4 linked regions of the Caenorhabditis elegans genome follow. The protein of the gene in region 2 interacts with the protein of the main gene of each other region in a pairwise test. Each region holds a gene or a part of one and is shown on either strand. Other genes may lie near its edges. The genes, in order: num-1, pkc-3, par-6 and rpn-2.

What was found.
Region 1: the proteins of pkc-3 (region 2) and num-1 interact in binary tests that used the Caenorhabditis elegans proteins (3 or more experiments, as listed by UniProt).
Region 3: the proteins of pkc-3 (region 2) and par-6 interact in binary tests that used the Caenorhabditis elegans proteins (3 or more experiments, as listed by UniProt).
Region 4: the proteins of pkc-3 (region 2) and rpn-2 interact in a two-hybrid assay, tested with the Caenorhabditis elegans proteins (one study listed by BioGRID).

The regions. Positions count from the first base shown.
Region 1 is NC_003283.11:20,828,306-20,835,836, forward strand, and holds the start of num-1 (PID domain-containing protein), read left to right. Parts: upstream 1-1,505; coding exon 1,506-1,674; intron 1,675-2,068; coding exon 2,069-2,166; intron 2,167-4,073; coding exon 4,074-4,228; intron 4,229-4,781; exon of another isoform or gene 4,782-4,787; coding exon 4,788-4,884; intron 4,885-5,092; coding exon 5,093-5,467; intron 5,468-5,719; coding exon 5,720-6,091; intron 6,092-6,578; coding exon 6,579-6,689; exon of another isoform or gene 6,690-7,309; coding exon of another isoform or gene 7,310-7,531. Other genes in the region: sbt-1 (Neuroendocrine protein 7B2), read right to left, coding at 1-141, 472-543. UniProt on the Caenorhabditis elegans protein: Involved in the tethering and targeting of pkc-3 to modulate the intracellular distribution of the kinase.
Region 2 is NC_003280.10:5,378,187-5,384,695, reverse strand, and holds pkc-3 (Protein kinase C-like 3), read right to left. Parts: upstream 4,670-6,509; 5' UTR 4,669-4,669; coding exon 4,603-4,668; intron 4,196-4,602; coding exon 3,937-4,195; intron 3,660-3,936; coding exon 3,575-3,659; intron 3,526-3,574; coding exon 3,399-3,525; intron 3,237-3,398; coding exon 3,060-3,236; intron 2,389-3,059; coding exon 2,137-2,388; intron 2,053-2,136; coding exon 1,694-2,052; intron 1,648-1,693; coding exon 1,305-1,647; intron 1,190-1,304; coding exon 1,064-1,189; 3' UTR 527-1,063; downstream 1-526. Other genes in the region: ccpp-6 (Cytosolic carboxypeptidase 6), read left to right, coding at 149-270, 320-492; Peroxiredoxin prdx-2, read right to left, coding at 5,203-5,414, 5,479-5,854, 6,256-6,273.
Region 3 is NC_003279.8:12,667,690-12,674,976, reverse strand, and holds par-6 (Partitioning defective protein 6), read right to left. Parts: upstream 5,598-7,287; 5' UTR 5,520-5,597; intron 5,352-5,519; coding exon 5,218-5,351; intron 4,686-5,217; coding exon 4,592-4,685; intron 3,662-4,591; coding exon 3,470-3,661; intron 2,723-3,469; exon of another isoform or gene 2,657-2,722; intron 2,621-2,656; coding exon 2,523-2,620; intron 2,454-2,522; coding exon 2,333-2,453; intron 2,283-2,332; coding exon 2,189-2,282; intron 1,129-2,188; coding exon 932-1,128; 3' UTR 530-931; downstream 1-529. Other genes in the region: T26E3.4 (RWD domain-containing protein), read right to left, coding at 6,243-6,299, 7,013-7,116. UniProt on the Caenorhabditis elegans protein: Necessary for apicobasal and anterior-posterior asymmetries associated with cell adhesion and gastrulation during the first few cell cycles of embryogenesis. Required for localizing/ maintaining par-3 at the cell periphery.
Region 4 is NC_003281.10:6,197,267-6,203,106, reverse strand, and holds rpn-2 (26S proteasome non-ATPase regulatory subunit 1), read right to left. Parts: upstream 3,928-5,840; 5' UTR 3,922-3,927; coding exon 3,867-3,921; intron 3,817-3,866; coding exon 3,289-3,816; intron 3,243-3,288; coding exon 3,112-3,242; intron 3,062-3,111; coding exon 1,841-3,061; intron 1,789-1,840; coding exon 1,639-1,788; intron 1,592-1,638; coding exon 1,065-1,591; coding exon of another isoform or gene 1,061-1,064; exon of another isoform or gene 967-1,060; coding exon 681-966; 3' UTR 513-680; downstream 1-512. Other genes in the region: sna-3 (NADAR domain-containing protein), read left to right, coding at 1-79, 153-347; C23G10.7 (putative tRNA (uracil-O(2)-)-methyltransferase), read left to right, coding at 4,700-4,786, 4,832-5,060, 5,109-5,325, 5,369-5,531, 5,582-5,677, 5,762-5,840. UniProt on the Caenorhabditis elegans protein: Acts as a regulatory subunit of the 26 proteasome which is involved in the ATP-dependent degradation of ubiquitinated proteins.

The sequences.
Region 1 (7,531 bases), on a different chromosome or scaffold from region 2:
CTCCTCAAGAAGTTTCTGTTCTCCCTCGCCAGCTCCACCAGAGATATGCTTGACTCCAAAAGAGGAGAGATCCGGAAGATTTTCAGAGTCACGTGAGATGAGATCAATGAAATCTCCGGATGGAAGAACAAAGTCTCCAGCCTGAAATTTTGAATTTTGAATAAGCTGACTAAATGTATACCTTTTCTTCAATTTTCCTTGAGTATCCTTAATCCGAAAAAAAATGGACTAGGAACACTAGATAATAATCTTAGTGTGAGTCATCACTAAAAATTTTGATTATGGCGGAAATAAATTTGCAATCCTTGAAACTCAACTTTCACAGTTTGAGGCTTTGGAGTTCATATATGAAAATTAATACAGATACCTTAATCGTTAAAAAAGTAATATTTGAAAATTTCAAAATCTATTTCACTTGCTCAGGAATTAGAAAAACACTAAGCCTACAAAACAAAATATGAGTTTACTTACGTTTTCCAAATCTAATCCATAGATAGCTGCAACTCCGACAGTAAAGAAAACCAAAGAAACGGCACCGATCATTCGGGCAACCGTGTTTGGTGCTGAAATGTGAATGCGTCGCTTTGGCTCTCCTGGCAGACGAAAAGAGAGCCGACTGCCAGAGTAGCAGACAGACGGTTATAGACCGAAAGGATTTTGAGGCTCGCAGAACAGCAGAGTAAAGACGCTGAAGAGAGAGGAGCTCATGTGCTCTTCTCCTCGCTCATGGCTGACGGCTTCGAGGAAAATCGATGAGCTGAAGGCGTTGTGTGAGTGTTTTGTGAGTTTTCATGTGAGTGTGTTCTCGCACGTCATTTTTTTGGACAAGATGGAGGAAGATGAAGAAGAAAAAACTGAAAGGAGGTCTAAAGCTCTTCTATTCGTTTCTATGATTAATACTTGGAAGTATAAAAAACAGGATATATTATGGGGTTTCAAAGATTTTGAGGACAACGATTATTGTACAAACAATTAATTTATTTTAAAATGAAACATTGTTTTTCATCGGATAAACATTGTAAAATGTCACAGCCTGTTTTTAACCATGTTCCATGTTCCATGTTGTTGTTGTGAAATAACTTGTAGTAATTCGCAAGTAAATTCACCCATGTTGGTTACGCAAATGTTGACTTTTTGAACATGTAATAAGTTCATCTGTTCAAACTATTAACTTTTTGAACTTTCCTTTGTAATCTCAGTTATCTTATCATTAAGTTTACAAGGTCTTCCGTTAATTCTTTACAAAGAAAAAAAATTAACCACCTTGATTGTAAGATTGAAAATTAAAAAAAAACGCAAGTGAAAATATCAATTTTCATCAAATTTAAGAAAATAATTAAAGTAAAGTTTTTTGTAACATCACAATTGTATTGACTACTCACATTGATCTTTGTGGAAGTGTTATGGATACGTACTACCGTGGGAACAAGCTGGGTTCTACTAATCTCAAAACTTATTTTATGTTTACATTTTGACTCGAGAGTCCTTCTTGACTATACTTTATTATGAATTGGATAGTTCATCAGCAAGGTTCATCGAACACTATGTTTTACAAGTGTCGTCCGCCAATAGAGTTTAGATTTCACAAACAAACTATTCTTGGTTTAAAGTATGATGGTCTGGATCGCAGTTCAAGAAGTGCCACCTCTACAATATGGGTTTACGATAAATGCGGTGAGTTTTGGAAAAATAGTATTTTCCTGGTATCTTTAATAGTTTACACGCTAAGCAATGTGCTAATTTCAAACCTGCTATCTCAAATACTCGTGAGCAAAGTTAAAGTTCCATCCGTACATGTTGCTAATTCAAAATGATCATTGACGTCTGCAACGACTTATTTCCCTACAAAATTTCCGTATTTCTCCCTCTATCACACGTAAGAAAAAGGGGTTGTCTATAGTATGACCTCCTTTATCAACGGCGATAACAGTCGGAAATCGGGTGAAAAGGAGGCGGAACATTCAGTTTCTGCACAAATCAGCTATTTTTGTCGCGATACTCTGAATATTTTTTGGCACTGATTGTAAAAAATTAATTTCGCACATTCGTTAACAAGTTTTTTTTTCAGAATTCGACAATATGATTGTTCCGTTTATGAGGCATAGACCAAGAAATTGGGATCAAGAGTCTAGATATACTGCACCGAGATTGATGTTGTGTGATACAGTAAGTGGTCATACTAAAGTTCGGATTCGAGATATAGGGTTTTAAGAAATATAACAAAAGTTTCTGAAAATATAGAATTTTATCAATGGTGAGAAGCATGATGTTGCACACGATTAGTTGAACAGTGACTTGACATTTTGATGCCTGCGTGACAGGTATGCCAGGTATGAGATGTTAGGTTTTAATTTTTAATCATACACAAAATGTTGAAAAATTCATTTTTCACTGCACGAAATAAAATTTGCTTTCCAACCATTTCGTTTTAGTAGACTAATTTTCATATTATAATGTATGCTTTAAACAAAAAGTATACTGTAAACAAAAATTTGTTAGAATTGTTTTTTTAATTCAAAACATTTTTTTGACAAATTTTTCGAAAACTTTTTCATGTCGGAATTCGGCGGAACAACTTTTCTAAGAATAGGATTTTAACAGAATACGTTGAAAAACAAACGCTAAAAACTCCTAGAACATTTATGAAAAATTATAGGAATCTCTTTTTTTATATTTCAGTAAAAAATTTTAAAAAATCAGGTAAAAACTTTTTTAGAGGAGGACTAACGATTTTGAAAGTAGACCCAAAATGAGCTCAAATGAGCAAATGTTTTACAGTGCATTTTTTTCCAACTTCTACGACTTTAAAGGCGCGCGCATTTTCGCGCAATGTTCTCGCCACGCGCATTCCATTGAATTGTTGAGCGCGTGGCGAGACCAATGACGGGGCCATTTTGTATAAATGCGCGCGCCTTTAAAGTCGTAGAAGTTGGAAAAAAAAACACTGTAATGAAACTTCTCAAAAGTGTTTCAAAAATGATTCAAAATTTCGAAAAAAATACACTGCTTTTAAATAGCTAAAATCTCGAATTGAGAATTATCATCCTTTATTGAATATTTTTGTAGTTTACTCATTTCATTTCGTCGATTAAAGAATATTTAAAGCCGATAGGCAACCTATTTCGATGATTTTTGATTACCTATTGGCTTCATATGCACCTTAATCGACGAAATTAAGTGAGATAAACGAAAATATTTAATAAAGGACGATAATTCAAAAGTCATCATCGGGCCGCTGCGACTCAGAAAAATGGCCAAAGTTCGAGAATTTAACTAAAAACAGTGTTATTTTTTTGAAATTTCGAACCGCCGTAAAAAATTTTTGAAACATTTTTCAGAAGCTTTATTATGAAATAATGAATTGTTCATTTGAGCTCATTTTGGGTCTATACGTTCAAAATCGTCCGAATCGTTAGTCCTCCTTTAAAAGCATCGTAGTTTTTTAAATTCCCTATTGTAGCCCAAGTACAGTATTTCTTAAAGACGCGCATCCTTCTGGCATTTAACTAAAATTTATCGTTTCGAGACCGGGTACCGTGTTTTCGAAGCGCAAATTAAGACAATTTAGCATCTGAAAAATGATTCTTCACGAAAAATAGAAGTGTTCTAAAAGTCCTCGATTTTTATGCAATTCTGTCAAATATCATCGAGAATCACGCCGGCAAAAAGAGGTCATTTGTCTCCGTTTCTATGTGTATTGGAGACTGTGTACAGGACAGTGAGAAGGCACGGAACTTTCCCTCTACATCTCTGCACTCTCTTGTCTTTTGTACAGTCTCTCGTCGTTTGTCGTGTTTCTTTTGTGCAATAAGGCTCGGTGCAATGTGATGGAATTGATAAGAGCGACGGGTGGTTTCAGTTTTTGTCCTATTTTGACTGAAATTTCTGTTTTACAGTCATTGGCTATGAATCATGCATTTTTTGCCAACATAAATTTGAATTGCATCGTAGCGGGTCCCAAACGCGAAATTCTCATACTATCATTTAAAAGTGCTCTTCATTTTCCATTTATTTTGCCATTTTTTGACCGATTTCTCCCGATATTTTTGACTAATTTTTGATTTTTGTTTCAGATGAGCGCTTCACAGGGAAACGTATTCACGAGAGGACTGTCGAGAATATCGAGAAGGAAGAAAAAGACAAAGAGTATTCAGAATTCTTTAGTCTCTGAACAGCAACCAAGTTTTGACGCCGCAATTGTTCCAATGCCAATTCCGAACGATAAAAGGTACTAATTTTTAAAGGAAAAATGTTACAAACAGTTGCCAAGTCTTTTTTATTTATTTAAAATCTTCAAATTATCTGTTGAGCTCTCCGAAAACTGCAAGTGCGCTCTATTAAACTAGCCAGGCCACACAAATTGAGCTGCTTTCAGGGAAACGAAACGGAAAATATCAGCTAAAAAACTGAATTTTCTCATAGTTTTTCTTATTGAAATATTATAATAAAATATTTATTAATATATATAACAAAAGAAGCAAAACATTATTTACAAAAATTCAATGTGACACCCCAATAAAAATAAAAAAATTCCACAGATTCCGTTACCCCGTTCTCTCATCTCTCCCCACTCGTGAGGCTCAATTCTTTCACCAATTTCCTCGCTAATTTGCCCAATTTTTCATCAATTTTGTTATTGATTTTCGATGGTAATCTGCTTTTTCTAGCAAAATTTTCGAAAACAATGCGAAAAATTGATTTTAATGCATTCTAGAACTTAAAATTTGCCGATTTGGTTATTCTTCATGTCGATTTCTATATTTTTAAGTACATTATGTGAATTTTAGCTCAATATTCTCAAAAGGGATGGACCGGCTACGGAGATCGCTCAGACTGCCAAAAAAGCGAAGAGATAGGAGTCATGACAGGCATTTGAGTCCAGATGTACGTGAAAACCTGTGAAAAATCGATTTTTCCGAAGTTTACTTGGAAATCAGTTTTTATCTTTTATCGGATTTCATCACCATTTTTCCAACCAAGTAACAGTCTGAAATTCATATAATTTCGACCAAATTTCCGCAAAAAAATCGAGAATTTTTTAAATGTTCTCCAAAAACCTCAAGTTTTCCCCAAAAAATGCTCAATTTTCCAGGTAACGGGCGGTTCGAAGACTGAACAGTGGCAGCCAGACGAAGGTGCCGTACGAACGGGTACGTGCTGTTTCAATGTAAAATATCTAGGATCAGTGGAAGTGTACGAGTCTCGTGGAATGCAAGTTTGTGAAGGCGCACTGAAATCGCTGAAAGCTTCACGGAGAAAGCCTGTAAAGGCAGTTCTGTACGTGTCAGGAGACGGATTACGTGTTGTCGATCAGGGAAACAGTCGAGGACTGTTGGTAGATCAGACTATTGAGAAAGTTTCATTTTGTGCACCCGACAGACAAACTGACAAAGGATTCGCGTACATCTGCAGAGATGGAGCATCCAGGCGGTGGATGTGCCATGGATTTTTAGCCACCAAGGAAACGGTAATTTTATTCAGAAAAAACTATTTATATGTTTTATTGGCAGAAAATTCGGGAATTTAGGTAAAAAATTGACAAATCCCACTACTCTTATTGCTAAGAAATCTTTTAAAAAATAGCAAGAAAAATGCAGAAAATTATGCAAAATTTCCAGGTTTTCCGACAAATTTGGGAAAATGGAGGCAATGAAAGCAGTGAATTTATCAATTTTCGACCTAAATTGCCGAATTTTCTATAAAAATGCAATATTTTCAGGGCGAACGTCTCTCGCATGCTGTCGGTTGTGCATTTTCAATATGTTTGGAAAAAAAGAAAAGACGAGACGAAGAAACAGCTCAAGTAAATGTGCAATCAGCGCAAGAATCAACTTCATCCACTCCACCAAAGGATATATTCCACCCAAATTGGGAGGATAATACATCAGAAGGAACTTCAACTCAAAACCCTTCGAATTCCCGTTCAAACCTGGCTTATCAGTCGTTCCGGAAGCACGTTTCAATTGAAGATCGATATTTGGATCCACAATCAGTAATTATTAACGAGGTACCGGCATCAAATCATATGGATGAGATTAGAAGGATATCGAAGCCGAGACCAACTGGAAATCCGGCTCTGTTTTTGAGACAGGTTCGTTTTTTGTGGTGTCAGGTTGTCCCATGTGAGATTCGAGCTGCGAAGACTAGATTTTCAGCCAAAAATAGCTATTTTTAGATCAAAATCCAGCGAGTTTTCTTTTTTTTATTGGATTCTAAGCTAAAAATTGACAATTTCACCTAAAAACAGCTATTTTTGACTGAAAATCTAGTCTTCCCAGCTTGAGTTTCTCATCGTACAACCTGACACCTTGCTTCATTAAAATGGTTTTCAACCTAAAATTATGTGTTTTTTTACGCAAAATCATGACGAAATCCCCAAAACTTGGCTGAAATACGAGTTTTCAATTGAAATTCAAATCTTTTCATCTCGAAATTGACGAAAATCATTTAAAAAAAAAAGAAAATTCGCTGGTTTTTGATCAAAAAATTGAAAATTTCACCTAAAAATTGCTATTTTTGGCTGATCTCCAAATTTCACATGTGACAACTTGACACCACTTGAAAATTCAAAGTTTCAGGGATCCCTTCGAGCACCACCCGATATGCCATCGTCTTCTGATCAATTCAAGCGAAATATGTCGTTAAGGACCGTGTCGAATAATCCAACGGAGAGATCTCCTGAGAAAAAGGTTTGATTTTGCATGTTATTTGCGCGTTCTTATTTTTTTATTTTAATTCCAAACTTTCCGCAATGTTTTATGGGAAAAAATCAAGATTTCCTAGGAAAAAATCACAAATATGGGAAAATTGTTTAAAAACTCGGTAAATGGGTCTTGCCAAGTTTTACGATTTTTGAGTAAAAAATAAGTTTTCTTCCAAAAATGCTCAAATTTTTTGATAAATTTATGTTTTTTGAGGAAAAATCGCGAAATCGACGGAAATTCAGTTGGAAACATCTATTTTCTGCGATTTTCCGCACTAAACAAATACATTTTATTGAGAAAAACGTTGGAAAAACTGTTTTTTAATGTTTTCAAAAAATAAATCTGAAAATTTGCGATTTTTCGCTGATTTTTTTTGATAAAGTTTGTTAAGTTCTAAACTGAAAAAAACAAAAACTGTATTTTTTTTTCAAAGATTTCCATATTTCTGACACTCAAAACGGCGATCCTTTTCAACGTCATTTGGAAATTTGCATAATCCATCAAGTGATATGACTAGTAAACCCCCATCTTTTACCATTTCCCTATAACAAAAAAGTTCCTTATCAACATTTCTCCTATTTTCACACTCGAACAGACCTCATCAAATGGTTCTCATAGACACTGAATACGTGCGCGCGGTGGTCCATAACGTTGGTCATCGTGCGCGGTGTGGTGTCGCGTCAAAAGTTCGAGCACTGAAGTTAGCCCATTCTCAAGCTAGATTGAGGTCATATTCACAAGCGTGTGAACGAGCAAGCTATATTGATGGTAGATGTGAATACTATCCTAGTTTGGATGTTGCTTCGAGTTCTCGAAATTCTGAAATG
Region 2 (6,509 bases):
ATTTTGTGTGGTTTTATAATGATGTTTCTAGAAAATATATGCATATTTTCAAAATGAATACATTGGGAAACACGGAGTTGAGAAAAACACGCTGGGTTACTGTAGCAGAAAAATGCCAGTCGTGTCAGGACCCTTCATAACTTTTCAGAACGATGGGAGATCTACTTTCCTGCCTTTGCTATACACTTGAAGTATCATTCTTCTCTTATCGCCATACAGACTCTTCTGGAAATGGAATACAACATTGTACGCCATATCTTCAATATAAATGTAGGTTTTTTTTCAGTGATTTCCTACTGTAACTTGGTTCAATTTTCAGATGAAGCTCTCGGCGAGGCATTTTGCAGAGCACTTCTCAACTTCTATGAAGCCGACTGTGGACTACGAGAGATTGTGCTCGAACGTCCCTTTAAGACTTTTCTACCCGCCCGCGCCCAGAAAACTTTGAAAAAGCAAGCGAGGAAGGTGATTCAGACTGTGATGATGAAATGAATTGGCGCCCACATTAGAACTGATAAAGACCATTGAAATGCAATTTTTTTTTGTTTGTCAATAAATAAGTAAGGGAAGTGGTCAAATGGAAGAACATGTAAATTGAATTGAAGTTAAATCGAGTTCCACACGTGGCACAAAAGAAGTGTCAGATGGCGAAGAGACTACATTGATCGTAGTCTTCGCCGCAATTTTACATATATTTCAGGGAAATGAATGAGCTGACAAGAAAAGTAACAAGAAGGTGTATTTAGAAGGGGAGGTCATCAAGCATTAGGTATTCCTAGCAAGTATGAATAGTCTAGATTTTAACAGAAACCAAAAAAAATCACAACCTTTTCGGGATTGTAAGATACCACAAGACGAGTAGAAGTGATTGTTGCGAGAAAATGTATAACAGATGTTGAGAAAAAGAAAATAAGTTAGGATACTGATTATGCCACGAGTTAGTGTGTCATAGTATCGTATAAGACAGTGGGCGAAGGAGATGGGATTCGAGAATAATAATAAAAATCACAAAAAAGTATACCGAAGAAAATAAATATTTGGGACTCGGGGGATGGTGGGGGAATCAGACTGAATCTTCCCGACTCATTTGTAGAGGATTCACGTATTCAAATCCATCAAATTCTGATTGATCAATTCGTGCAATAACATCTGGATTGTCAGGTGATAATTGTGGAAGTTCGTCGGTGAACTGAAAAAAAAAACAAGCATTTTGAATTAGTTTTAAAATATTTTGATTCAATAATTTATTAGTAAACAAAAACTAATTTTTTTTTAAAGTTAAGTTCTGAAGAAATTAAAATTACCTGATGATCAAAGTGTGTCAAATCGCGATCACTTTCCACAGCTGGATGATATGGAGGTGCGACAGCCTTCTGTTCCAAAGCTTCCCAATCAATGAATCCACGGAAGAATTGATGTTCTTTCATATCACGAAGACCTTCATTAATGTCAAGCTTACATCCCAGACGTTCTGTTGGATCCTTGTTCAGGAATCCCTTTAGAATACCAGAAGCCCGTACAGAAAGTGATCTAGGGATTCGAATCTGTCGTTCAAGAATGATTTGGAAAAGATAATCTTCTGTATTTTCCTCGGAATTCTGCATTCCAACAATATCGAATGGAGATCGACCAGCCATCATTTCAAACCTAAAACGATTTAAATAAAATAAATGTTCAACCAAAAAAGGCTTACATTAACACTCCCAATGCCCACCAATCAACACTGAATCCATATTCATCACCTCTCAATATTTCTGGTGCAATATAATTGGGTGTTCCACAGAAAGTTGAAGTTAAATCTCCATCCTTAATATTCTCTTTACACATTCCATAATCTGTCAGTTTTATGTGTCCTTCAGCGTCAATCAGAACATTGTCCAATTTGAGATCACGATAAATGATTCCGCGAGAATGAAGGAAATGAAGAGCAAGAATTATTTCACCCGAATAGAATCGAGCGTGCTCTTCTGGAAGCTTCCGTTGCTGTTGCATGTGGAACATCAGATCACCTCCAGGAACGAATTCGATGACAAAGAACAGGCGGGATTCGGTCTGAAATTATCAAAATTTTGGTTTAAAATTTTTAATGCGAAAATTTGAGATTTGAAAAAATCGAAGAAAAAGAAAGTTACCAACCTGGAAGCAAGAATGTAATCCAACAAGGAATGGATAATTTGACGCTGCTTCGAATACTGACTTCTCCGTCTGTACCCAATCGATATCTTCATCTTCATTGAACATCTCCTTTTTGATAATTTTTATCGCGTAAATTTGACGAGTTGAAACATGTTCTGCTTGCACAACTTTTGCATAAGATCCACGTCCAATAACTGTTAAAAGACGGAAATCGTTCAGAGAAACTGCCCATTTTGACGACCCATTTCCATTCTGAAATATTAAAAAATTTTAGTATTTGAATCTATGTAACTTTAAAAATACTTTTCGCCGTTTCTTTTTATCTGATACTGGGAAGCACTGACAGAAAAGTGCCATACGTTGAAATATTAAAATATTTTGATATCAGGAAGAAATCAGAATTCGCAGCGAGGAAGGGAATTGTGGTTGGAAATGAATAAAAATTTTGAGAGCAAGAGAAAGAGTGAAACTACAAAAACTTGTTCATCCAAAAAAAAACAAAAAAATGTAGTTGAGTCTAGAAATCTAGAATGTTTTTCAAGAGTTACATATATCACGTATCTAGAAATTTGAAATTGAAATTGCAACAGGAAGAACCTAATATTTAATTGAACTTTGGATTAAACTTAATTAAATATTTCAATTAACTACCACTATTTCAAAGACTTTCCAATTTAAATTGTTTTTTTTAACAAGAGTTATTTCATTTTCAGCTATTGTAAATCTGAGACTTTTCAGATGGTTTTATTTAAATAAAAGTTATGTTTTTTTGGAAATAAACTAATAAATTTCAAAAAAAATTAACTTTTCTGAATATTAAATTAAATTTATTACGATCCCTCGGAGACGTGAAGACAAAGATATTTATATCAAATTTCAAATATATTTTATTTCAAATTTTGGCTCCAACTTCAAAAGCTTACCATAGCTCTGCTAGCATCATGACTCGTGGATCCGGGTGATTCGATTTCGTGCTCGTGGAATGCTCCGTTATCAATTCCTCCACCCGACCGCGTTGTAGATGAGCTTGTATTCGATCGAGCACCCTTTAGAGAACCACTTGCAGGAGCCATTGGGATAATATTCGGGCCTTGGAGAGCCTGAAAATGATTTAGATTTTTATGAGGAATTTAAAAATTTAAGCTTTAAACCTGTTTTGCACAGAAATTTGTAAAAATTGAAAAACAGAAGTCTGGGAGGTCTTAGTTTCAAAATTTTGGAATAATTTAGAAGCTATCCTCGCTACAAAAAAAAAGAATTACCTGACCACAATGCGTTCGCACATGCCGATGGCATTTTTTGTGCACGCATAAACGACAATCCACACATCGAAAGCCTTGCCGTCCAATTCCCCATATGTAGTCATGACAAATAAAGCATTGAATACGGCTGAAAAGAAAGAAGCTCCGGAGGCTGTAAATCAGAAAAAAAAACCTACCGATTCAGCCGTTTCGCTTGGAATCGATGCCCATTGTACAGATAAATTTTCTTCCATCGTCGAGCACCTCTTCGATATACAGTTTCTGGAAAAAAAACATTTCTCAGACTCGAAAATTTCCGATTTTTCCTCCGACAAATTTCTTGTTAAACGCGAGAAATTGTGTGCCTTTAAAGATTACTGTAGTTTCAAACTGCGGAAGTTTGATCTATTTTCCAAAATTCCAAAATTTATGTGTTTCTAATTGTTTCATTTCAATCTTTTTATAAAAATTGATAGAAATTCCGCTTTACAGTATTCTTTGAAGGCGCACATTTTTTCGAAATTCTAAATAATTTTTCTGATAGCTTCATGATACTTACTGTCTTCTCCTTGACACGGAAGCCCGGGCAGCTCTGGTTTTCCAACAAAAACGTGAATGTTCAACTCGGCTTCTTGACTAGAATTCAAACATCGAACTGCTTCATCAAGTTCCATTTGTGAGTCTATTGAGATTGGATCTCCATCTTCATCAATCCATTTTACAGTAATATCTTGTTTTTTGTGTTGTTTACAAGCATCTTTCAAAAGTGCAAAAAAGTCATCGAGAATGAGCGGTGGTCGAGCATAGAGTACTACTACCTGGAATTTAATTTTTATTAAAATTTGGGAGTCTGGAATTTTTCAGATTAAAAAAAAAAAGTTATACAGTAACAAAAATTATTTTTCAATTTTGCAGAATTTTTAAAAAATCAGTGGTTGTTTTTTTTTAATTTTAGCCGGAAAAGAGCTTTTTAAGTTTTAAACACTATTAATCAAATCATTAAAAGTTCAGAAAAATTAATTTTTTACAGTTTTATTCGGTTATCACGGTCTTTTTCTATTTTTTGTCTGGAATTTTCTCTCTGTTACGAATTTTTAAAGCTTTGACAAACTAAAATTTCGCATTGACGGCGAAATGATTTACACATTCTCACTGCAACGAAAAATTCATTTTTAGGGTATTTCTCGATTTTTGAGCATTTCAAAAGCCACTTTTCATATCTCACCTGTCCTTGAAACCTCGTTTTTAGCTTAATATCTCCGTCCTCCTCTAATGATGTCGGAGACGACATTCTGAAATAAAAATTGAACTAAAAACGGTTCAAAAAAAGGAGTTCTGAACGAAAACTGCGAAACTGAAACAGTGACGAGTTGGCAGTATTAGAGTAAAAAAGGGAAAAATGACTCATGAATAAACATGCACATACACACACACACACTGTTATAGCTATATATGCATTGACGCTCTATCGAACACCCCCATTTTGTCCAAGTGTACAGGTCAGTGAGAGCGGCCCAGCTTTGAAGAGGCATAGAGAAATGAATAATCACAGGTGACCCTCACAAACACTGTACAGGACGACGATGCGCGCGCACCGACTAACACGGGCGGTCTAGGAAAGTGACAAAAAAGTAACAGAGAGAGAGTCTCGACACATATTGTTTGTTCCTGAACAGAAACAGTTATATTCGAATACCGAGTTTATTTTACGGTTATCAAGCAATTTCATGAATTTCAGAATTTCAGTATCAAAATGAAAAATGAGTATAAATAAACCGTTCAGATAAATACTAGGGATACGGGGGAAATTAGAGATGTAAGACATTTAGTGCTTCTTGAAGTACTCTTGGCTTTCTTTGACTCCTGGCTTGATGGTGTCGGATCCTGGAGTCCATCCAGCTGGGCAAACCTCTCCGTGCTTCTCGACGAACTGGAAGGCCTGAACAAGACGAAGAGTCTCATCAACAGAGCGTCCGACTGGAAGATCATTGATGGTGATTTGACGGAGGTTTTGTGATGGGTCGATGATGAAGAGTCCTGAAATTTTATTTTTCAAATAAAGTACGAAAATATGAAGGATTCCATTCAGAATATAACTCACCACGGAAAGCAATTCCTTCGTCCTCCTTGAGAACTCCGTAATCACGGGAGATTTGGTGGTTGGTGTCAGCGAGAACTGGAATGTTCATCTCTCCGAGTCCTCCGTGCTTGCGTGGCTGGTTGATCCATGCCAAGTGAGAGAAGACAGAGTCGGTGGAAGCGGCGAGCACAACGGTGTTGATAGCCTTGAACTCCTCAGCACGGTCAGAGAAGGCGATAATCTCGGTTGGGCACACGAAAGTGAAGTCAAGTGGGTAGAAGAAGAGCACAACGTATTTTCCCTTGTAGTCAGAGAGCGAAACATCAACGAACTCGCCATCAACGACGGCTTGAGTCTTGAATTGTGGAGCTGGCTTTCCGATGAATGCTTTCGACATCTAAAAATTAATTAGTTTAACAAAAAAAAATAATACCGCGATAAAATAACAACCACAATCACAAGAACAACAATACGACAAAAAATGAAAAGGATATTGAAACCCAACGGCAACGAATTTGTTTGCAATGTGAAAAGAAGGAGAATAAGGTGACGGGCGGTGCTTATCTAATGGGAATGAAATACATTGGCAAAATTGGAGAGCGACGAAAGAAAAAAAATCGGAGGACGAAATGAGAACTAATAAAACATTCTGGGAACATCTTTGAAAAACCAAATTAATTGTTATAAAAGTGAGTGATCATGTTAAATAACAGAAATCGAGGGGTTTAAACTTTTCCGTGATTTAAATTAATATCTAAGTAACCAAATATATTTTTAAAAAACAAATAAGAAATGCACCTTTGGAGCGAGAGACATGATTTCACACTGCAATTTTTAATAAACATTTCTTTGCATCTTCCAAGAAACGAAATAAGGTCAGTCTTTTTATAACATTGCCACAAACTTTCATCATCATGTGACGCGATTTTTGCTGACAATTGTCGCGGCAGGGAGTAACAGACTACAACGTTTAGGAGGAGCGAAAATCTTAGGGTTCAAGGTCACTTTTAAAGAAAATTCAAATATTATTACCTGTCTATACATCTTGGCGC
Region 3 (7,287 bases), on a different chromosome or scaffold from region 2:
AACTGAAACTTCAGATTTGCACAGATTTTATAACATTAAATCATCAAAAAATCACTCAAAGGTAACATTTTATTACAGACTTTTCATTACTGGGCACTTTTCAAAAATGCTGTACAAATGGCGCAGTGGGATTTTCGACGAAAAAGCTTCCAGTCAAAGGACCGTGGTTCGAGTCTCCACTGTGGCAAACTTTTTTCCATAGTGTTGTTAGGCTAAACTTTCAATTCTCAACCCAAAAATTATAATATCAATTCCTAAACAGCAGAGAAAAACCTTGAAAAATAAGAATTTGAGAATAATCAGCGGAATATCGGCTGAAAATGTAGATTTTCTCAGTTTTTAAAGCCTTAAATCGTCAAGAACTCAATAAAATTCAAATTTACCCGAAATTATGTCATTTCTGGGAAATTGTCAAAAATGTCCAAATGGAGCAGTGGGATTTTCGACGAAAAAGCTTCCAGTCAAAAGGCCATGGTTCGAGTCCCCGTAATGGCAACATTTTTTTCACAATGCTGATCTCTCAAAGCTTGAAATAAATAATTTATTCTCACTAATAATGTGAATTTCAGGGGAAAAATTGTATGTCGTGTCTGTTGTCAAAAAATTTGAGCCAAAGTTCGAAAAAAAAAGTATGGGCTCAGAGAGCTCTGAAGGGGAAAAATCACATAAAAAGGGCGAAAGGAAGGCACATTTTGGGGCGAGAAACGGGGGAAATAAAAGTGAAAATTGTGCGCAAAAAAGTGAAGAGAAAGCCGACAAATTTGATTAAAAATTAGGAGAAAAAGGGGAAAATAAATAAATTAAGCGGTTTTGGTTGTGTGTGTGTGTGGTTTTAGCGAGAATATAAATAATATAATTATGTATAAAAATGGTCACATTTTGTGGTTTTTTTTTCTGAAAAAATCGAGGAAAAATGGCTGAAAAGAGTTTTTCAGTCCTCTCCACTGTCCGAATCATTTGCGTCGTGCTGTTTCGGATGATAACTGCCGTCGGAGCTTCCGTTCATTTTCATCGGGCGCTGAATTCCACCTGTAGCGGCTGCGGTGGCGGCCGACATCTCACTGGCGTTCGGTGTTCCTTGTTGTGACGGTCCTCGTGACAGTGTGTTTCGTTGGTTGGCAGGTTTTACTGGAAAATATTGGGATTTTTTGAATTTTCAAAAAAAAAATAAATTTGAAATTTTTTTTTCGAAAAAAAATTTCTGAAAATTTTGTTTTTTATAATTACTACAGAATTTAAAATCAGCTCGCTGAGAGCTTCCAAACAAGTATAATCATGACTAGGCTATGTTTATTTTGAACATTTTCCGAAATTTTGGGTCCCGCCACGAAAACTGGGTTACTGTAGGTTGGGATTTTAGTGGGGGACCCAGTTTTCGCGATTTCATTTAGATTTTTCGATTTCAGCTTACCGAGCTTTCAAATAAGTATAATTATGACTAGGTTGGCGGACATTTAAAATTTTCCAAAATGTTGGGTCCCACCGCGAAAGCCAATTTCGTGGTCGTGCCCCAAAATTGAAATTTTAGATTTTTGTTAAATAATTCAACTTCCGCTCGCCTAGAGCTTTAAAATAAACATAATCAAGACTAGGTTATGCGAAATTTTAAATTTTCGGACCCCACCACGAAAACTGGGTTACTGTAGGCAGCGATTTTCGTGGTGATACCCAATTTTCGCTATTTCAATTAGATTTTTCGATTTCATCTTACCAAGAGCTTCAAAACTAGTATAATAATGACTAGGTTTGGCGAAAATCTAATTTTTTCCAAAATTTTGGGTCTCATCGCGAAAATCAGTTTCGTGGTCGGGCCCAAAAATTGAAACTTCTCAAATTTTTTAGTAAATTCGTTTTCAGCTCATCAAGGGCTTTCAAATAAGTATAAACACGACAAGATTGCGTCACATGCGAAAATTTTGGGTCCCATCGCGAAAATGGGTTACTGTAGTTTATCATTTTCTTGGCGAGACCCGAATTTTCCAAGTTTGACAGAATATAGCCATGATTATACGCATTTGAAAGCTCTCGGTGTGCTGAATTCAAATTTTCTAATGAAATTTTTTAAAAAGTGGGTTCTCGCAATTTTCGCGGTGAGACCCAATTTTTTTCAAAATAATCTTAACCTAGTCATGATTATACTTATTTCAAAGCTCTCGGCGTGCTGAATTCAAATTTCCGGATTATATACCAGTAATAATCAAGTTATGAGCATTGGCGACCATCATATCAGTGACCTGATCCAGCGTCTTTCCGAGAACCTCAATTCCATTCACCTCGAGCACCTGAAAACCGGAATTTTTAGATTAAAAACTCTGAAAATTCCATTAAAAACCTCGTCATTAACACCAAGAAGGCCTGTGGACTCGGCGAGCCCACCATCGACAAGCCGGGAAATGAAAATTCCTGAAACTTTGACGACGCCTCGTTCTGTCACTCGAACCGATGTTCCGTCACTGAAAAAAGAATTGCAGATTTTTGGGATTTTCTGGCAAGAAATCTGAAATTTCCAGAAAAATCGATACCGAATATAGAATCCAAGTGGTCGTTCTTGTCCGTGCTTGCAGAGACGGACACGGCGATGAGCTTCTGGCACAATGTCCACGTCGATGATTGCAGAGACCTGCAAAATTGAAAATTTTTAAAAATTAATGGGAAATTTGAATTCAGCTCGTTAAGGGCTTCAAAATAAGTATAATCATGACTAGGTTTTGCCAATTTTGAAAATTCTCCTAAAATTTGGGTCCCGCCACGAAAAGTGACGAAATTTTAGAAAATTACTGCGAAATCTGAATTCAGCTCACTGGGAGCTTTCAAACAAGTATAATGGAATGACTAGGTTCCGCGAACTTTGAAAATTGTTGGTCTCGCCACGAAAATGGGATTACTGTATGTTGGCATTTTCGTGGTGGTGGGATCCAATTTTTGAGATTTTTATCAATATTTTTGAATTGGGAGCACTGTCAGCTTTAAAACTAGTATAATCATGGGTTCCGTTAACTTTGAAATATGCGGGTCCCACCGCGAAATTGGGGTTACTGTAGGTTGGCACTTTCGTGGCGGGACCAGATTTTTGCAATTTCATGAGTTCAACCGAATTCAGCTCACCGAGAGCTTTCAAATAAGTATAATCATGACTGGGCTCCGGAAAATTTGAAGATTTCCAAAATTTTGGGTCCCGCAGCGAAAATTTCCTTCGTGGTGGGACCAAAAATTGAAATTTTCAAAATTTTTTCCGGAATTTGAATTCAACTCATCAATAGCTTTCAAATAAGTATAATCATGACTAGGTTCTGCGAAATTTGAAATTTTTGGGTCCCATCACGAAACGGGATTACTGTGGTTTCGATTTTTCGTGGCGAGACCCAACTTTTTTCAAATCCATCGTAACCCGGTCATGATTATACTTATTTCGAAGCTCTCAGCGAGCTGAATTCAAAAATTCCACTTTTTTCGCTGTGAGACCCATTACCTGTCGAAAATCTTCGGGATTCGAGATTGAATAACTGCGTTTCGGTGGTTTTTGTGCCATAAGTGATGAAATTCCCTTCCATCGTTTATCAGAGTCTGTACCATAACCATATTTCTCTTCCCATGATTCACCGCGGCGTTGAATGAGCAAACGGAGCAGTGGGCGAGCCGATTCGAACGATTTTCGGAGGTTCTGCAAAAAAAATAATGGTAGTTTTGGGATTTTATCGATTTTTGGGATTTTTCTAGGAATTTATCGATTCTTTTTGTGATTTTTATTGATTTTTTGGGGATTTTTTACCGAATTTTTGTGATTTTTCAACAGATTTTTATCGATTTTTTATCGATTTTTTCCGATTTCTTGGGGTTTTGTATTGATTTTTTAAAGCGATTTTTGAGTTTTTTTGTAATTTTTTATCGATTCTTTTTGTGATTTTTATTGATTTTTTGGGGATTTTTCACCGAATTTTTGTGATTTTTGTTTCAATTTTTTGAGACTTTTTTCGATTTTTTTAAATCAATTTTTTGTAGTTTAGGACTTTTTATCGATTTTTTAAGATGTTTAGTGATTTTTTAGCGAAATTTTGTGATTTTTATCGATAAGTGATGTTTTAGTAATTTTCAGCATTTTTTAGTGAAAAATATCAATTTTAGGTCATTTTTACTCGATTTTTCTCGATTTTTTCACCGAAAAAATCAATTTTCTTCAGTTTTCCCTACTAACATTCAGATTTTTATAGACTTTTTATCGATTTTTATCGATTTTTTTTTGAGATTTTTATCGATTTTTTGAGTTTTTAAATCAATTTTTAATTGATTTTTTGTGATTTTTTTCGACTTTTCTGTGAGTTTTCAAATCGATCGATTTTTTGTCCTCGTAGGAGACACCCGAATATTAAATCGATTTTTTTATTATTATTATTTTTATTTTTTAACGATTTTTGAGCTGTTTTAAAAATCGATTTTGACTAACTTTAAGCTGAAAAAATCAATTTTCGAGACATTTTAATTGAATTTTTAGCATTTTTTAGTGAAAAATATCAATTTTATGTCATTTTTACTCGATTTTTTCGTTTTTTTTTTCACTGAAAAAATCAATTTTCTTCAGTTTTCCGCTACTAACATCGTCATTTGTGATTGGTAGAAGATCACCGCCAGTCGAGTTGTAGCACAGTGTGAATTGGACACTTTCCAGGTGATGAAGCTTCTCGACAAGGCTGAAAATATCGATTTTTACTTGAAAAATTGAACTTTTACGGGAAAATTGCTTCAAAAATCGAGTTTTCAGGTAAAATATCATTTTCCGCTCGTTTTTGGTAAAAAAAAACACAAAAAAAAAGACGAATTTTTCGATTTTCCGGCTGAAAATGGCGAAAATTCGATTTACGCATGATTTTAGCCCTAAAAATGCCGATTTTGGCCAAGTTTGGTTTGGAAAATAGATTTTTTAGGGTTTTCAAGGTAAAAATCGGAAAAAATCTGATTTTTTCAAGTAAAAAAAATCATTTTCCGCGTATTTTAGGACAAAAAACGCCGAATCCTTGGATTTTTCAGCTGAAAATCGTTGAAAATCCGATTTTCTGAATTTTAAGGGATTTTATGCCTAAAAATGACAATTTCAGTAACTTTTGGGTAGAGAAATCAATTTTTAACGTTTTTCTACGTCAAAAACATGGGTTTTGACGTATTTTAGGTAAAAAAAAAACGCTGAATTTTTCGATTTTTCGGCTAAAAATGGCCAAAAATCACCTCCGGAACCCATCGTAAGAGACACCAGACGCAGAATGCATTGGTATTGAGAAACGACGCCATTCAGAATCAAATTTCGATTTGACTTGAAGTGTTGAATGATGATTTTGATGGTAGGAGCCGTTGTAGGACATCTGAAAATTTGGATTTTTCGGGTTTTTTGAGCTGAAAAACGCGATTTTTAACAGTTTTCAGCTGGAAAATTGGAAATTCCGGCTTTTTTTGAGTAGAAAAATCGCATTTTTCGACGTTTTCCATACTTTTAAGCTGAAAAATTATGATTTTCGCAAATTAAAACTCACAATTACAAGTTACAGGTGCAGCTCCGCGTTGAGCCGGAAATAATGCACAATTTTCGTGGGAAATATCGATTTTTTCGGCTGAAAATTGGATTTTTTCACATTTTTGAACCTTTTTTAAGTGAAAAAATTATTAAGTGAATAATTTTTGAATTTATTAATCAAAAATCGGATTTTAAATAATTATTCAATGGAAAAAATTGAATTTTAATTTAAAAGTTAGAGTTTTGAACAGTTTTCAACGGAAAAAAAAACTGAATTTGAGTTGGAAAATAGACATTTTTAGGAAATTTGAGTAGAAAAATTGAATAAAAATTCCAAAAAATGGCAATTTTGAACATTTTTCTAGCGGAAAATGAAATTTCAAGCTAAAAATCGCATTTTTTGCGATTTTTACAAAAAAAACCTTCAAAACACCAAATTTCCGCTGAAAATTGAGTAAAAATGAGTCACAAAACTCTCCAAAAAAGTTTGATAAAAACTGATGACTCATCGCCAAAAATTTTCAATAAAAAATCGATAAAAAAGCTGATAAAAACAGCGAAAAATTCAAAAAAAAAGGTTAAAACTAAAACAAATCTTTACGCAAAAAAATGGAAAAAATTGAAACGAAAAACCGTGAAAATCAACAAAAACTGGGGGGCAAAAAAATGGATAAATTACGGGATTTTTCGCCGAAAAAATGGCGAAAAATCACAGAAAAATGCAATAAATTGAGGGGAAATCCTATTCTTCATCGTCTTCTTCTTCTTCTTCGGAATCCATTTCAAGACCTTCGAGTTCCTGGAAAAAATGGGTTTTTTTGAGTGGAAATTTGAGATTTTTTGGGGTTTTTTAGGCTAAAAAATGGGATTTTTGGAGGTTTTTTATGTTGAAAATCGGAAAATTTGATCATTTTAGGCAGTAAAATCGAATTTTCATCTTGAAATTAATCAATTTTATGAGAAAAACTCGAAATTTCGAACAATTTTTGGAATAAAATTGCAATTTTTCGCGTTTTCAAGTAGCTTTTCACTGAAAAATGTGGGAATTTTGGCGTTTTTTCCATAGAAAATCGGAATTTTAGTGAGAAAATTTCAATTTTTTGATAGAAAATATGAAGTTTATCACAAAAAATTCACTTTTAAAGTGGAAAATCGTGAATTTTCAGCCAAAAATGCCAAATTTTGTAAATTTTGAAGCTTTTTCTTCGGAAAAATCCAGATTTTTTGCATTTTTTTTAGCTCAAAAACAGAGTTTTCCATGGAAAAATAAATTTTGAGTAAAAAATGTCTAATTTTTCAGTGAAAAAATGGGGATTTTAGCGAATTTTTACATTTTTCCAGGTTTTAAAAGGGAACGTTTCAAAAAAGAAAAAAAAATTTTCGGATTTTCACCGAAAAAAACTCGAAAATCGACAATTTCCAATGAATTTGCATGTTTTTCATGCAATTTTTTAATAGAAAATCGTAAATTTTCAGTAAAAAATCGATTTTTCAGTGGTTTTTTCCAGAAACCTCATTATCAAAGAGGCTCTCATCAATTTCGACTTCATCTTGTGCTCCAATAAGTGTGACGTCAGAGAGATTGAGTGTAGCGTCACGAAGGAATAGTTGACGTCCTGGAAAATATTGGTTTTTTTTGAAATTTTCAGCGATTTTCAGACGGAAAATCACATTTTTTGTGAGATTTGGAGCCAGAAAATGGGATTTAAATGAATTTTTCGCCTGAAAAAGTTCAAAATTTCGATAATTTTGGCGTAGAAAATCGCAAGAATCGGGATTTTTATGAT
Region 4 (5,840 bases), on a different chromosome or scaffold from region 2:
ACCAACGACATCTAGAAGGAAATTTGGAAAAGATAGGGATCGTTTGCCAGAGAAGTCGTCTTCTGATAGAGGAAGAGATGTTGGTTTTTATTATTTATATTGTTTTAGCTTAAAATTTCCCGATTACATGTTTTCAAAATCAAAATTTACAGAAACACCTCGACACTCCCACCAAAAAACGTGTAAACCAGTCTCCTCCATCGCGGAAAGCAGCTCCATCGCCTGCTAAAAAGCCAGCCATATCCACGTCAACACCAGCGGTCGTTGTTCCTCCGAAGCCAAAGCGAGATCCCGAAGAGGAGTTATCAGACGGCGAGATTCTATCAACTGACGAGGAGGATAATTAAATTAATTTTTTACTTCACGTTTTCGTTATTAAAATTTTCAGAATTTATTCATTCATTTTTGTTGCTGTTTCATTTGAATAACACAGCAAGATTTTGAGGCCAGAAAGGATCTCTTGTTTAACAAAAATAAATTTTTTGTCATTATCGCTTGACTTCAATTCATGTAAGTGAAATGTTCTTCATTTTCAGGTATACACACAAATACAAAAATCAGCGGGTTCATGTTGATTCGAAGTCAAACATAAATAGAGTAGAAGGGGGAAAATAAATTAAAAAAGTTTTGAATGGGATTGGGGGAGCGAGATAGAGTTGATCGAATGATCCAGCAATTGATCAAAAATCGTTGATATTGATCTCGAACGTCGAATGGGGTTTGTTTTCGGTATTTCCAGAGCTCGCAGGAGTATTGACCTGAGTGACGACTTCACTGACAAGCTTCTCCTCTCTCTCCTTATCAACACGATCCGCCACAATAATTCCACCCTTGTAAAGTGGCTTCATGGGACTGTAGGCTCGAGCGTCACTGATCGAGATTAGCTGTCGTTGAGCAGGAATCACACGAGCTGGATTCTGTAGGCGGTGCAATGGCTTCGTGTCCTTTTCTGGAGCCTTTTCTTTCCTGAAATAATTGTAAGTTAATTTGGAAATCTTGGTTTTTTAATTTTTATGACAAAAAAAACGAATTCTACTTTTCCTAGACACTCATTCCAAACTTACTTGGATTTTCCTGGTTGATCAACCTCCATTTTCTCATCTTCAGCAGCTGGTGCTGTTCCTGAAGTGGACGATGATGATGGGGCAGCAGCAGCACTAGAAGCGGAAGCTGCAGCTTCTCGTCTTTTTTTCTCCTCAGCGATCAGCTTCTTTGACGCATTCTTCTTTCCGGTGATGGACAGAACAACAGTCTCAATCTTTTTGACATCCTTATCCTTCTTTGATTCGGCTCGTGGTGGATAGGCAAACTTCTGACTATTGGCATGGCAGATGTAGTCAAGTACTGGAATCTTCAGATTCTCGTTCATCATCACAAGGCATGATGGCTTAGCAGCAAGGGCGATGAAGAAATGCATCGAGTGCCAGAACCATCCGTGAAGGAAGCACATCATTCCGACCATTGATCCCATATCTGGCTGCTTGTCAGAATTTTGCATTGTGACCGCAGCGTTCTGCCCTCCGATGTCGAGAAGTCCTTGAGCAATAATTGCTCCAAATTTGACAAGAGAGTCCTCGTTCTTCTCTCCGATCTGACAAACATTTATTGAAAAACTTGATTGTTTTCTTATAGAGTTACCTTTTTGAGCAATTGCTTACGGAAACCGTTCACCTTGGGACAAGTGTAGTCTGTCTGCTGGCACATGATGAGAGCAAGTGAAAGAAGTGCTCCTTTACGAACGAAACCTTCCTTATCAGAAATCATTGGCTCAATCAGAGCAATAGCTTCCTGAAAAACAATTCATTATATCAAACCCCGGTTTCAGAAAAAAGTATCTTACCATGTTTCCTGTTCCAGCACAAGCAATTCCCAGTGCCATAGCTGCTCCGTATCTGACATGTCCATTGAAATGTTCGGTGAGCATGGCCACGTAGGATAAGCAGGTTGATGGATCCTTGGAGAGAACGAATCCGATACCAATTGTAGCGTATCTCTTGACATCCAAATTTGGATCGGTGGCTACTTTCTCGAGAAGACGGCGTACTACATCTGGAGATCCGGTTCCGGCGTAAGCCATCGACAGCATACAGATTCCAGTGGAACGGAGCATTGGATTGCTCTTAGCTCCGATTGCTTCTTTGATGTAAGGCTCAGCATCTCCTTGGAGTCCGAATGCGGCACAGGCAAGTCCAGTTCGGATACCACGTTGAGTTTTGTCATGCTGTGTGTCAACAGTGTATTGCTTGAGCTCATTGAACACCTCTTGATTCAGATGTCCAGCCATGATAAGGCCCATGGCGATTCCTGCGGATTCTCCGGAAACTGCTTCATCACGTTGGAGAACTTCCCGAACTTTCTCGTAATTCGAAACAGAAGACGATCCAAGTCCAGCAACTCCAAATCCAAGACAAGCTCCGTGTCTCACTGGCTCGTTTTCGGCGGTTTTGAGCCACTGAGCCAGAGTGCTCATGGCAGTTGCATCTCCGTGTTTGGCGTGAATCAATCCATATGCCAGCATTGCTCCTCCCTCTTTAAATCCAAATCCTTCGACAGATTCCTTTGGCAAATATGGCTCAAGTACCTTCATTGCAGACGATTCTTGTCCGTGATGAATGAGTCCAAGTGAAGCGACCGCATTGAACTTGTTCCAGTTCGTAGCTTTGGAAACCCAGTTCAAGTTGTTACGGAGGAAATCGTCACAAGTAGTTCCATATTGCATAAGACCATTTGAGATGAGAAGAGCATTGTGGGCAGAGGCTGTTCGAATGTTCTCCTTGATCTCTTCCATTAGAACAGAATCAGTGTGATTATGACGGACAAAGAAGTCGAGGTAAGCCTTGACAGTTTCATGACCTTTGAGAATTGAATGAATCTTTTCCATCGACTTCTCATCACGAGCATCCTGCTGTTGGAAACGTTTCAAAACTCGATCGAGGAATCCTTGACTCGCTGTTTCATATAAATCAAATGCGATCTGATATGCACGAGTGCTGAGAGACTTCGCGATCAAACTCGTAATCGTGTCAGCAGCGGCCTCGGCGTTATCCGTGAGCACGTAACACTGAAAATGTTTATTTTGTAATTTTACTTCGATATTTGTATAAATCATACCTCGCAAATCTTGGACATGTCCGGCGATGGGCACTTCAAGTACGTCTTGATGACTGTATCGATAACTTGGAATCGGAATGAACGATCGAACGCGCCATTGACAACACGGTTGAGCGTTTCGACAAGTGTAGCTGCACAAAAAAGAATGACGTTTCAGCTTAGTTATTATTGACTTACTCTGATTCTTGATGGTCAAATCTGCAGGCATCGCGCTAATGGCCCTGTCGATCATAGCCAGATTGGTCGTCTCAAATCCTAACGAGATGACAAACCATATCTCTCGTTTATCCAGATTTCTAGCAACAATTCGGTCGATCAAATCTCGGAGTTTCTGAGGAATTCCAGATCCTTGCTTGCTCAGCGTCTTGTACGTGTCAATGGCCGTCTCGATGATCTTGTTAACATATTCTGCGTCGTTTCCAAGACCGGTTCTTGTAGCAGGAACGACGTTGAAATCACCACGAAGAGCAAACTCCAAAGCACGTTCATACTGCTCCAAGCAGAAATAAACTTTGGAGACGAGCAGTGCAGCGGATGAATGCTCTGGGAACGTGTTGTTGTCAAGGAGCTGCTCTACAGCTGGAAGGGCGTCAGCGACCTCAAACCATGTGTTCACAAGAACATCCCAATCGTTAAATGCTTTGAGAACGAGCACTTTGTCGGTCACTGCTGATTTCGGTGACTCGAGAACACGAATGAATGCGGCTGAAAATGAACAATTCACAACGTTTCTTGATAGATATTAGTTTTGATACCTGCGTTTGAAGCGCCTCCTGGCTGAGATCTCCATCTGTTCAACAATGTCAACATCTGAAAGAAATCAAAATTAAAAACAATCCGAAATGAGAGCAGCTAGGAGAAGATAGTTGCGAAGCATAGTTTATTATAAAATGTTTTTCTAGGTTATCAGAAAAACAGCTTTCTCGTCTTAAAAGACAAATTAGAAAACGTCTAAAAATAAATCAGGCGTTTTAGAAAATCATAAAATTACTCAAACACCAACAATGGATGAACCGAACGAAAAGAATGATTGCGAATGACAAATTTCGTCCAAAAACACATACATTTTCAGATAAAAGCTGACAATTTCGCGGTTTCCCGCTGTGGTCAGAATTGTCATCCTCCGCGATGTGCGTCAACTAATCGATAATTGCGCCAGCACATGGGTGTTGGCGCATTTTCTTCAAAGTTGTTTTCTTATTTTTAGACAATATTTTTCCCAGCAATTCCGATAAAAATAGCATATTTTAATTTTTAAAATCAGATAAAAGTGTATTGGTGTCTAGTTTGACCGCTCTAATGCTTAATTTTTCACTGATCGTCTCAAAGCTATGCGGTGGTTACTGTATTAAAGGCTCATTGCACATAGTTATGACATTGGTTTCAGTCTGACTTAGTTTTTGTAGTTTTCAGAGGAACATTTCCGAATTTTCTAGAACTTTCTATATCTTCGAAAAGCTTACCTTTCTGCGTGTTGGATATTTTCGGCCGAACTAATCAATAAAAGTTTATTGAATAATTTTCTTTTTCCTTTGAAAAACTAGTTTACCAATATATTCAATTAAAATTTTACGTTTTTAGGCGTTTTATGTTTCCTGGTTCAACATGGACAGTTATTGTAGAACAAATCGCCGAATACGAAGAGGTTATTGATCCAAAAGCGTTTTTTGATAAGGTAGTTATTGTAATTTGGAATATTGTAATTGAAAGAAAAATTCAGATTATCAGTCTTTGGAAGGAATATCCAAACGCTATCAGTAACAGAATTACAACTTCAGTTTCAGTGGATACAGATTCAGATTTATGGAATGAAGTTTTAAGAACATTTGAAACACATTACAAATTTTGCCCGAGAGATTGCAGCGAAATAGCTATTACGAAAATCATACACAAGGATCTCGCTAATAATAAATTCTCAGATAATGCGTTTGAAGTTTCTTACTATGAAGGTTTGTTTCGAAGTTAGTCTTCTTTTGAAATGATGTTTTTGTTTTCAGAAGAACTCCTTGTACGATTCTACCCAATTACTCTCGATGGAATGCAACACCCACATTTCGAGAGCCCGTATTCAATTGCCATTAAAATCCCAACAGATACATCCATTCAACTTCAGTTTTTGAAGCAAGCTAATTCCTCTCAAGAACATTTTGAATTTATGAAGAAACAAGCATTCAAACAATTGTACACTTGGTTGAAAGGAATTGATCTTTCAAAGTGAGAACGCTATGATTTAACAAAGTCTAAACGTTTATTGCAGATCATCTCGAAAGACAAATTCTCTACTCGACAAAGAGTCCTACATCAAGACATATCGTCATATTCGAGAGGATTATGGCAGAGGAATGATCAAAGGATGGACAGAAAACTCTAATCCACAAAAATCAATTTTCGAGGATTGTGGGATTGCTTCATATATAAATGTAAAATTTATCTATTTCAATAAAATTCCCATCTTTCAAAATATTTTTAGGAGCTTGTCAATTCTGATCTCCTACCAAAGCCGAATAAATTCGTGGATATTGGATGCGGAAATGGTCTTCTTGTTCATCTTTTGAACAAAATCGGAGTAAGATTTTTTTTTTAATCGAAAATTGATTTAATTATAAAATTCATTTGATTTAACTTTAGATTTAAAAAAATAAATGTTTAGATGTCTGGATACGGAATTGACGTTCGTCATCGAAACATTTGGAAGACCACTCTGAAAGATGTGGACCTACGCGAAATGC